Linked DNA regions of Rattus norvegicus. The main gene of each other region encodes a partner of the protein of the gene in region 2 in a complex. Links are inferred from orthologs where the notes say so. Each region holds a gene or a part of one and is shown on either strand. Other genes may lie near its edges.

The links.
Region 1: the proteins of Xiap (region 2) and Casp7 are in contact, whole or in part, in a crystal structure (PDB 1I51), measured with the Homo sapiens proteins. The link is inferred for Rattus norvegicus from reciprocal best matches to the Homo sapiens genes XIAP and CASP7. Residues at the interface, in NP_001158.2 of Homo sapiens: His136, Ala137, Leu140, Leu141, Gly144, Gln145, Val146, Val147, Asp148, Ile149, Ser150, Asp151; in NP_001218.1 of Homo sapiens: Tyr230, Trp232, Arg233, Ser234, Pro235, Gly236, Arg237, Trp240, Glu274, Ser275, Gln276, Asp279, His281, Phe282.

The regions. Positions count from the first base shown.
Region 1 is NC_086019.1:265,441,290-265,445,446, forward strand, and holds the start of Casp7 (caspase-7), read left to right. Parts: upstream 1-1,357; 5' UTR 1,358-1,425; intron 1,426-4,157. UniProt on the Homo sapiens protein: Thiol protease involved in different programmed cell death processes, such as apoptosis, pyroptosis or granzyme-mediated programmed cell death, by proteolytically cleaving target proteins.
Region 2 is NC_086039.1:125,760,540-125,767,423, forward strand, and holds the start of Xiap (E3 ubiquitin-protein ligase XIAP), read left to right. Parts: upstream 1-2,966; 5' UTR 2,967-3,050; coding exon of another isoform or gene 3,051-3,138; intron 3,139-3,414; 5' UTR 3,415-3,540; intron 3,541-6,884.

The DNA of each region.
Region 1 (4,157 bases), on a different chromosome or scaffold from region 2:
TTCAGGACTAGCCTGGAAAAGGTCACTGTTTACAGTGAGATAAATTATAGTGTCAATGGAAGTCTTCATTTTTTTTTTAAGAATTGCCAGTTGAATTGTTTTAAAAAAGCAAATCATTTTTCTGTGAGCCACGGCTTACCCCAACATTTACCTCGACAGTTCAGGGACCACACCAGCATTAAATAAAAAGGAAAGTAGGCATATTAAGGTAGTTATGCCCTCACATTTGCCTGGGGTGAGTCTTTCATCCAGAAAGTGCCCACACTGGTTGAGATTTTAGAGATAGTGCCGAAACTCTGGGGTTTAAGGAAAAGCACACTAGCAAATAAAATAGCCCTAATGGCTTTGGAGACCTGTAGGGCCGTGAAGCCAAGTATCTCTGGTATGCCCAGAACCACAGTTCTCTCCCATAACTCTCTTGAGTGAGTGAATGAGCTGTTCTGAGGACTCTCGGTGGAGGTGAGGAATGGGAATCCTCTACAGATGGGTGCCCAGACATATCTGTCTGTCTGTCTGTGTTGGACGTGACATGAACAGGAACCCAAGTTAGTTCACTGTCTGCTTCCTCATACCTAGTGCCTGACACGGGAGAGAGCATACATGCAATGATTTTGGTGCAATATCCATGCAAGCTGGGGTTGGGAGGTGTAAACTTGCTTAAGGTGAAGTTCGCGTTCGTGCCCTAGCATCCCCCTTCACAAGGGAAGACATCAGACTAAAGCGACTGGTCGTGCACAGGATCTGGTCGAGATGCAGACTGCGTTAGGAAAAAGTGAAAAGGACAAGACAGGAGCCCCACTGTTGAAGGCAAGTCAAATCTTTATGTCAATCTGCTGTATAGACAGTTTTGTACAATGCGCTCTCAGTGGGACTTTGGACGTTTACAGTTTTAGAATCTCTTAGCACTATCTCTGGTGAGCGCGGGGAAATTTGCATACGTAGCACCGGACACGGTCCCGATTTGCAGGACCACTCTCCTCTGGAGACACTGGCCAATTTTGCAGAGGTCTGGACAATGCTCGTAGTTAGATTTTTCAGAGCACGTGACAGATTTGCAGAGGTTAGCCCCGGGTCATTTTTCTGGCGGGCAGTTTTGCAGAGCCTGCGGGCCCGCCAGTTCTGTAGAGAGCGCTCTACCCGCTCCGTTCCCGATCCGGCTGGGGTCGCCCAAAGCTTGCAGAAGGCGGGACACAGCACGTGGGTGGCGAGGGCTTCCCGCTCGAGCTTCCCGTGCGAGCTTCTCCCGCGGCTGGCTCCGTAAAGCGCTCCCTCAGCTTCCCGGGCACAGCTCCGCCCGGCTCGCCCGGCCCGCCCGCTCCTCCCCCTACGCCTCCGGGACTTTTACTTTCAGTTTCCCTAAAGCTGCCCTCGCCCCTCGCGGAGGACGCACGCCGTCGTGGGCTGCTGGCTGCCGCTGTGGGAACGGTAACTTGGGCCGCCATCGCGGCTTTCCCGCCCTTCTTCCGCGCGGTCCCTCCTCCCGCGCGTCCCCGCCCCGGGTCGCCCTCCCTCCCGCAGGCTCGCAGAACCTGCTTGCAAGGCACTGTGGCTCTGGCTCGGAAGGCTGCCGGCTCTCCATGCCCTCAAGCCAGCGCTGGCTTTGCTCAGCATGGCGTCCCGTGGCCTCCTGGTCTGGGGTCTGGCGACATCCGGTGCCATTCCGGATGTAACAGGGAAAAAAGAGCGGGTGTAGGCTGTAGATGTGGCTGTTTGAACCCGCAAGGACTACCTTGTCAGATTGGCCTGGAGCTTAGGCGCCGCCGGTCCACTCAATGGGAATCTTGGGCCGTCCTGGTGACTTATGCTCAGGGAAGGAGGGAGTTAGGTGCACAGATCTTTGACCAAGGCAAAGTGTGCTTGAACTGCTCTTTCTTGTCGGGGAACTTCGCATCGGGACTCTTGCAGTGACTTAAGATGGTGAAAAACTTGGCAGTGCGGGCTCCAGGCGACACCTCATCTTTACTCATTGGGCTTTCGGGTTTATGGGAAAATAAGTTTCCTGGGAGGCGCAGGTGGTGTTTGTAAGTAGTTCACAGTTCTTTCTCTTGAACTGAGCGTACTGACGAGGCCCAGGTTTTCTGTTTGACAAGCTATCTCTTCCTTCAGAGTTTGACCAGCCTGACCTTACACACACACACACACACACACACACACACACACACACACACACACACACACACACACACACACGCCCTTCCTCCCTCCTTCCCTCCCTCCCTCCATACTGTTAAGGCCTTCTGCAGAGAACGTGGGCAAAGTCTCTGGTTACCTAACCCTGTGAACCTCAGGTGGGTAGTGTGGCGGCCTCAGGACTTTTTCACTTAAGGGAGAGTGAATTTGGCAGGAGGCGAGTCTGTTCGATGTCACTGTGTTAGGGAAGGGCAGCCTGCCTCCTCAGGAATATGTAAGTTCAGGCAGTAGCCAGACCCACCCTCAGTACCTGTTCGAGTCTACTTTCTGTTGCGGGGTAGACACCGTGACCATAGAGAGGAAAGGTTTTATTTCATTTGACTATTTCGGGTCACAGTCTGTCATTGCGGGAAGTCGAGGCAGGAACCTGGAGGCAGGAAATCTGATGACACTCAGCTAGCATTTATACACGGCCCGGACCCAGCTGACTACGGCTGGCACCACTACCGAGGGTGGGGCCCTCCCACACCAGTCGTTAGTCAAGACACTTCTCCACAGACATAGCCACAGGCCAGTCTGATCTGGCAACTCCTCAGGTGAGATTTCCTGTTCCTGGGTGACTCTAGGCTGTGTCAACTTAACAATAAAAAAACTAGACACCACACCTGTTCTCGAGGTTCTGGGGAAGCTCTCAAGGCAGGCGGCATCCCAGTATCCCAGTGGCCAAAGTCTTGCAAATAGGAACAGCCACACTGTAAGACAGGGGGAGTTCGGGGTAGCCCAGCAGTGGCCAGACGTATTGTTTTCTAAGCAACTTCTTGGGAACTAATACATACAGAGCCCCAGTGATTCCTTAGTGCATCCCATCTCCACAACTCACGTAGGGGACTAGCTTTCCAACCCAGGAGCCTCTGGGGGACCAGTGACAGCCAAACCATAACAGCAGGCATCACACATCTTAACGCCATTTAACGAAGACATCCCGTGCCTCTTTACGGTGGGCAAGCACTGTCTCTAATGCTCTTTGCAGCCCCTGAAGAAGGTACCAAAAAGTCATGCTAGGATGTTCCCTCAGGCCGCACTGTTGAACCCAGATGAGATGGCTTTCTCAGAGGGTTTGGAGATAAAACCAGGACTCAAAACCAAGAGTTGGCCTGACTGTAATGACGTCACCGAGGTTAAGCACCCCACTTGGTCACTACCTGAGATCCTTGAATGTTGCCAAGACTCAAGCAGATCAGCACAGGGATGAGGAAGCTACTGGGTGCTTAGCCTTCCTGATTAAAGAGTCAAGTCCACTGCCACTGATGTGGGCTGTTAGCAGGAAGGATTGAGACTTAGACTCCTGCATTTAAGATGTATTATAGCTCCCAGTGTCAGGCATCTCATTCTCTGGTCTGCTCTGATGTTGTGGGTCTGTGGTGACGGGGCAGGACATCCTGGTGGTGAGTGTACGGTGAAGCAAAGTTGTTGACCTCAGGGCAACCAGGAAGATGCTTTAGGCCTCGCAACAGATGGCGGTGTGAGCATTGTGAAGAAGACACATGGCGAAGTCTCCCACTGACACCAGCTAGGACTGACATGGTTGTGTCATCCGCTGGAGCAGAGTCAGTGTTCGTAAGGAACACAGACTCTCCCTCCCCTAGCAGTCAATAGTTTCTCAGCAAGGAGTGGGTTCCTTATGTCTTCAGGCCTGTGTCAGCTTTCTGTCAGTATAATAAGTACCTGAGGTGATCAATTTAGAAAGAGTAGTCTGTTCTGGGTCACCATTTTAGAGCTTCCAGCCCGTGATTACCCAGGCCGGTTGCTGCGGACCTTGTACTGATGGAGCGCAAGCTGGTATATACTGGTCGGTTTTTCCTCACAGTGATCAAAATCTGAGAGGGCAGCCTGAAGAGATTTCTCCCTTTACAGCGGTGGTTCCTAACCTTCCTAAAGCTGTAACCGTTTAATACAGCATCTCATGGTGTGGCTGCCCTCAATCATAAATTATTCTGTTGTTACTTGATAACTTTAATTTTGCCACT
Region 2 (6,884 bases):
CCACATCAATCATCAATCAAGTAAATATCAGACTTGCCTACGTGCCAATATGATGAAGGCATTTTCTCAGTTGAGGTTATCTTCCCAAGTGACTGTAGCTGTGTCAAATCAACAAAAATCTAATTACTCATAGCTCTTGGGAAACCTAGTCTGAAGTTGTCTGGCCTACATACAAAGGAAAGGAGAAAGGAAAAGAAACTGCACACAAATTTAGGAGAGCGGTTCATACGGAAGCTTCTAACTTTGGTTCTCAAGAGGCTATATGGTTTTGTTTGGGGAGGTTAGTTTGTTCTATTGATTTGGTTTTCTTTTAAAGACAGGGTCTCATTTGTATCTGTTGCTAAAGCTGGCTTTGAATTCAGTATGTCACTGAGGATAACCAGGAGCCCATACCTCCCAAGAGATGGAGTTACAGGTGTGTAGCAACACGTTAGATTTATGTGATCCTGGAGCTCAGACTCAGGGCTCCATGCATGCTAGGCAAGCACATTACCAAATGAGAAACATGCCCAATCTCAAGAGATTGTAGTTATCTGACTGAAGTATCCACTTCAAAGTGTCTTACATGGTCAGGAAGGTGTGGTTGCTAGCTGGTCCAGGAAGAGAAAAGATGAGAAAAGGTTAGGTTTCATTTTCTTATTAGGGTTGTCAGATCCTGGGATGCTCTCTTGCCCTCCTTCCCTTCCTCTTTTTCTCTTCTGAGTGGGGTTTGAGATAGGTAGCCCAGATTGGCTTCTATGCAGCCAAGGCTGATCTCGAAATCCTCGTCTTCCTTCCTCCACTTTCACCTCCAAGGACTAGATTACAAACACATGCCAACTGTCTGTCTGTCCTGTCTTTCTTTCTGTCTGCCCTTTCTTTCTTCCTTTCTTTCCAAAGATTTATTTATTTTATTTATATGAGTACACTGTAGTTGTCTTCAGACACACCAGAAGAGGGCATTAGATCCCATTACAGATGGTTGTGAACCACCATGTGGTTGCTGGGATTTGAACTCAGGACCGCTGGAAGAGCAGTCAGTGCTCTTAACCATCTCTCCAGCCCCTTCCTTCCTTCCTTTCTTTCTTTCTTCCTTTCTTATCTTACTATGTAGACCAGGCTGGCTTCACCTTGAATAAGCCTTGGCCTCTTGAGTGTTGGAATTACAGTCATGAACCATCACACCTGGCTTCACCTTGTTTTAGTACTCAAACCATGCCTGGCTTACTCCCCAGCAACCAATCCAAGAGAGGAAGGCAGGAACCACAGGTCTCTATGGCCTCACCTAATATGTCACACGCCACTACTTCCGCATTATTAATTATTATTAAGTTAACGAAAAAACAATAATAGAAACTGTGAGACTATAATCTTCAGGTAAGGGAATTAGTTTCAATAAATTGCTAGAAAGCAGGCAAACTGGTAAGAGCCAGGGCAAATTAAGTAGTTCTCTTAGAAGACACCGTTCTCTTAGAGGACACGATACACTGTCTTGGAGGAGAGTGAATTTAAGGCTAAGGAGATTTACTCTTATCCTGAAGTCAGAATGGAAAGATTTAACTCCGCAGCATGCAAGCTAGACTGTGGGGGAAGGGGAGCAAACCTAAGAACAGAGAAGTCAGACTGCCCTATGGTCAGGAAGATCCAGGGTTGAGTCAGACGGTTCAGCTCCTACAGAGATGAGTACAATTGACTACTGCAGTCACTTTGAAGTGAAGTCACGGTGGACACTATCAAGACAACCGAGGGTAGGGTGGCCTGGAACAGGGTTCTTTTGTTTTTGTTTTTTTGGAGATACAGTATCTTGCATATCAGGCTGGCCTCGAAATTCCTACTGAGGATGACCTTGAACTCCTGATCCTTCTGTTGATAAATTTGAAGGTGACTCGGTAAGACTCCCATCTAAAGAGAAAAAGATGGAGCTTTACTGGCTGACATACTTAAGGGTGCTCTGAGAGGTGAGAGAGCAGTATTTTCCTGCAGTTGTTTCGTCGACAGGGATGGGATTTGAATTCAACCTTGCGTGTGCTTGACAAGTGATCTACTACTGAGTTACATTCCCAGCCCTTGTTTGAATTTACTATCATTGTAATAATTCAGATGTAATTCTCAGAGATAGAAGAGCACACCCCAGGGCCTGGGACTCAGATGGCTTAGTGGGTAAGGGCATAGCCACCAACCTGAGGACATTAGTTCTTCCCTAGAACCCACATGCAAGTTGTCCTCTGACCTCACACAGTAAACCAATGCAATAATTTTGAAAAAGATTGCATTAGAAGGGACATTATGTTAGCAAAAGTTTTAAGAGTCAAATATATTTCTTTTACTTCTTTTCCAAGTTCCTTTTCATCAAGTGCAGCATTAGTTAACTAGACAGATGGTACTCATGATCGTCTCCTTTTAAATATACACAATCCATCTTACTCCACTAGCCATTAATTCCTGAAATCTAAATATACGTTTATCTGACCACCTTACACGCATATAGCACGATCACCACTTGCTGTACAGTCTTTTTCTGTGTCTTTTCCATCTTCGTTCTATTATTTCTCCTTCTTCACAAATTAAATCTCTCACTCTTTGTCTCCCTTTCTTGTCATTCCTTCCATTTTCCTCTATTTGGAAACAACCGATTCTATAATATCAGTTTACTTTTTTGTCGGGTAGGGGATACTGGGATAATTATTTTCTCCCGGTCTCAGTTTCCCCTGTAAAGTGGCACTTAATAGATGTGTCCTGCCTTCCAGGGTTTTCAAAATGACAAGGAATATGTTAGATACCTAGCAGAGTCCCTGGTAACCGATATGCTGGGGCCCTTTTCCCCTGGCTTTTAATCTTCTTACCTGTATTCCCCTACCCCACCCTCACTCCAGAGTCCAGGTAAAAGCTGTGTGTTGGGGGGGAAAAAGTCCTGGATGCTAAAAGAGGAAATGCTGGAGTTGGGGGCGGGGACTGAGAAGTGACCTGTGCGCATGTGCAGCCGCTGGGTCAGGCTCTGGCTTGGAGCTGGGGAGGCGGGGTGGGGGGGTGGGGGGGGTCGGGCTGCATAATGAGGACTGGGGGTTTTTTGGATGCCCCCTTCCGGCTCCGCGAGACGGCGGGACCTTGGCGGTCCCCCGAGCGAGCGCGACGCTAATCGAGGGCTGCTCGGCTCGAGAGGTAGGTTGGAAGATGGCGGAGTGGGAAAGAAGGAGGGGCTCTGCCGGGCGGGAGCAGAGTTCGGGGGGGAGGGGGGGACATGGCCTGAGGCCAGTGGCTGGGCGCGCCCGGGAAGCTGGCGGACTGCACTGGTTGGCTTTTTTTTTTTTTTTAAAGTCCTGACGTGGATGCACTTGGTTCCGGTCTTCGAGTTTTCTCCAAAGGGACTGTCCTGCCTGGGAAGGCCAAGGGAGGGAGAGGGAGGGAGACATAGTGACTTCCGTTTCCTTCTCCTAGGCCGGGGCCCGCCGCCCAGCAGAGTTGTGTTTTTCCTGATCGGGGCTCGGGCCGCCCCTCCTCCGGGACCCTCCCCTCGGGAACCGTCGCCCGCGGCGGTTAGTTAGGACTGGATTGCTTGGCGCGGTGGGTACAGCTCTTGTGGGTTTCTCACCCTCCCCTCCTCTCCCTCTGCTCCCCTCCCCTCCCTTTCCTCTCCCCTCTCCTCTCCCCTCCCCTCCTTCCCCTCTGCTCTGCTCTTCCCTCCCTCCTTCTCCTCCCCCTCCCTCGTCCTTCTGAGTCCCTCCTCCTCCCCTCCTTCCTTCTCCCCCTTCTCCCCCTCCTTCCTTCTCCCCCTTCTCCGTTTCCCTCCCTCCTTTTCTTTCCCTCCTTTTCTTCCCCCTCCCTTCCGCTTGGGCTAGCTCTGTTTAGTTGGGCGGGAAGGCCGCGCCCGCCCTAGGGGAATGCTGGCCTGGGCTCCCTGTCCAGGTTCCCGGGATTGCCCCCTGGAAGCCGTGGGTAGGGTGGCTGGCTTCAAGCCTTCAGGTCAGCCTCCTTAAACTTCGTGACACCTAAGGTAAATCTAGTTAAATAATTACAAAAAAAAAAAAAAATACGATCAACCTCCCTGCCCTCCGAATCTGATGCCTTGTATGGGGCAGGGTGGTGTGTCTCTGGCAAGGGTGGTATGAACCCAAAAGAATGAGGGCCAGAGAGCTTCCAGAGGAGGAAATAGCTGGTCATTTTTGCCTCTCTTTGTCACCTTGGTCACTTCCCCAGCATATTTCTGAAAGAAAAAAAAATGTCACTTTGACTTTCAGTTTCATTATTTTAACTCCACAGTTTACTTGAATTGTGGGGTATTTTTCTTTTAAGCAAGGGGAGTAGTGATTGCTGAAACTAAGCAGTGGCTCTCCCCATCTAAAAAGGAAAGCATTAATGGAAGCCTTGGGGAAAACAAACATCAGATTTTAATAATCTACTACTTTGCCTTCAAGTACAGTTATAACACTACTTCTGACATCCCATCTATACCTTAATAGTGAACAAGTTGTAGAAATAGACCAGAAACTGCTATTTTTCGTTTTCTCCTTAATGGGATTTTTTTTTTTAGTCAGTTCAAGAGAACACTGTTAAGAGCCGGCCATCTTAGACTTATACCATTTTTGAGTTGGGAAGGATCTCAGCTCAAACTCTTTTGTTTTACTAAGCAGAAACTAAGGCTCAGGATTTCATGACTTGTCTAAGGTTACCATGCCAGTTAGATTAGAACTTGGTTTCTGGCTTCCTGGCCACCACACTCCTGTTGCTTCATGTAAGCTCTAAACAAATATCTTAGTATATTCTATTTAACATTTATGTCTAGCATAATACTACTTTGTCTCAATGTCTGCACCATTTTCAGTGTACTGAACATGTATGTGAAGATTGTGCCTGGGATTGTTTTCCCCCATAACTTATGAATGGAAAACATTTTAGGCCAGATAGATTTATAGCTACAGACACAGAAACAGAAGCTTAGATCTGTCTGGATTGGGTCACATGGATCCTTGAAAGAGATACAGAAAAAATGCTAACCCTGGTTACTTCCGAAGAAGAGGAATGAAAACCTTTGCTTTTCTCCTGTGCCTTGTATGTTTGGATATTTTCTAATAAACACGTTTGATTTTATTCCCAAAAGTTTTAAAGCTGACATAGAGGTATATCAACATAAGTATTTGCAATCAGTATTTATGAACATCCATTTATCAATGATTTTTATTGTAAAATCCAGTATGGCTTATGCTGTTTTAACAGAACAGGCTCAATTACTTGAGTGTTTGTTTCTCTTTTGGCTTTCACCAATTGTTCTGTATTCATGTGAAATGGTAAAAAGGTTAGTCTTTATTTTATTTGAAAAAAAAATACATATGGTGAGCCTCCCGATGATCAAATAGTATAGCAAACTATGAAACTCACACATCAAATTTGTCATATAGATAAATCTGACTCACAGAATCTTTTGGGATTAAAGTTACTTTTAAAAAGTTATGCATGTAAAAATTGTATTGGTATATGTAGTTCAGTATAGTAGAGTAAATACTTGCTTAACATCTATAGGGCTCTGGGTGTGATTTTTTTTTTTTTTGAGCATATCAAAGAAAATGTTAAAATTCGATCAAAATGTATTATGTAATTTGTGAAACTAAAATAACCTGCTATTTTGTACAATGACGATACACCAGTAGAAGAAAGGAAGGGGAAAGAAAGCTAGATGTGATGGCTTCCTTCCATCTATAATCCCAACACTGTGCAGTCAGTGCGGGAGAATTGCAAATCCAAGTCGGCCTGGGCTATGTAGTGAGACCCTGCCTCACAAACAAAGTTGGGTAGGACAGTTGACTCTGTGTAAATGCCCTGGCTGCTCTTTCAGAGGACTGGAGTTCTATTCCCAGCACTCACACATCTGCAGCTCCAGTCCCAGAGGATTCAATGGTGCTTTTGGCTTCCATGAGCACTGCATGCATGTGATACACATATATGCATGCAGGCAAATACCCATACACGTAAAATAATAAAACAGAGTCAGGGCTCACACTTGTAACCTGTGCATTTGGTAGGAAGAGGATCAAGAGTTCAGAACCAGCTTGGGCTACATCATATCCTGTATAAGCAGAATCAGAATCAATAAAACTTTTATATTGTGTGGCATTGTTTGGTACTTAAGTGTTTGGTTTTTGTGCCCTCATTATCACTCCTCAGACATGTTATACAGTTTTTTTTCTAGGATCCAGGATCCCTTTTTTTTTTTTTTAGAGCTGGGGACTGAACCCAGGGCCTTGCCTTAGTAGGCAAGCGCTCTACCACTGAGCTAAATCCCCAACCCCCATGTTATACAATTTTAAAAATGGTAAATGTTTTGGGTTGGAGGTAAAAGCCTCAAAGGATTTGGGGGTGTGCATCAGTCCAGCATAGTATACCCTAGGCTCTGAAGTCAGTATCTAAAGAAAAAAGACTGGACATATCCCCACCCTTGAATTCTGTACTCTCATTGACAGAAAGGCTAATGAAGACTTAGGTGAAAGATGAATTGCTCAGAGTTATCTTGTTTATTGTTAACAGACTGTCTTAGTCTAGAACTCCTGTAATTAATTGTATTGCTTTCTAGTGCATTCAATGAGACCAAGTAAAATAACAAAGTTATGCTAGCTAAAAGTTAGACATATTTTAGTGGGCAAGCATTTTACTTCATGTGGCAGCTAATTCAGTAGAACACTTACAGTTTTGACACAGATATCCCCCTTAACTTTCATTTTGTACATTTATTTAGTATATTCTCTGTATTTAATGATTGGAGACTAAATATAACATAATGAGATTTCACTGGTTTTGCTTAATCTAATCGTCTAGTACTAAGTGCTGGGGGGGAGCTAAGGTTTAGAAAATAAACATCTATTGAGTACTTATTATGTGCTAGACACTGCACTGTGGTATGGGTCTAAAGATGACTA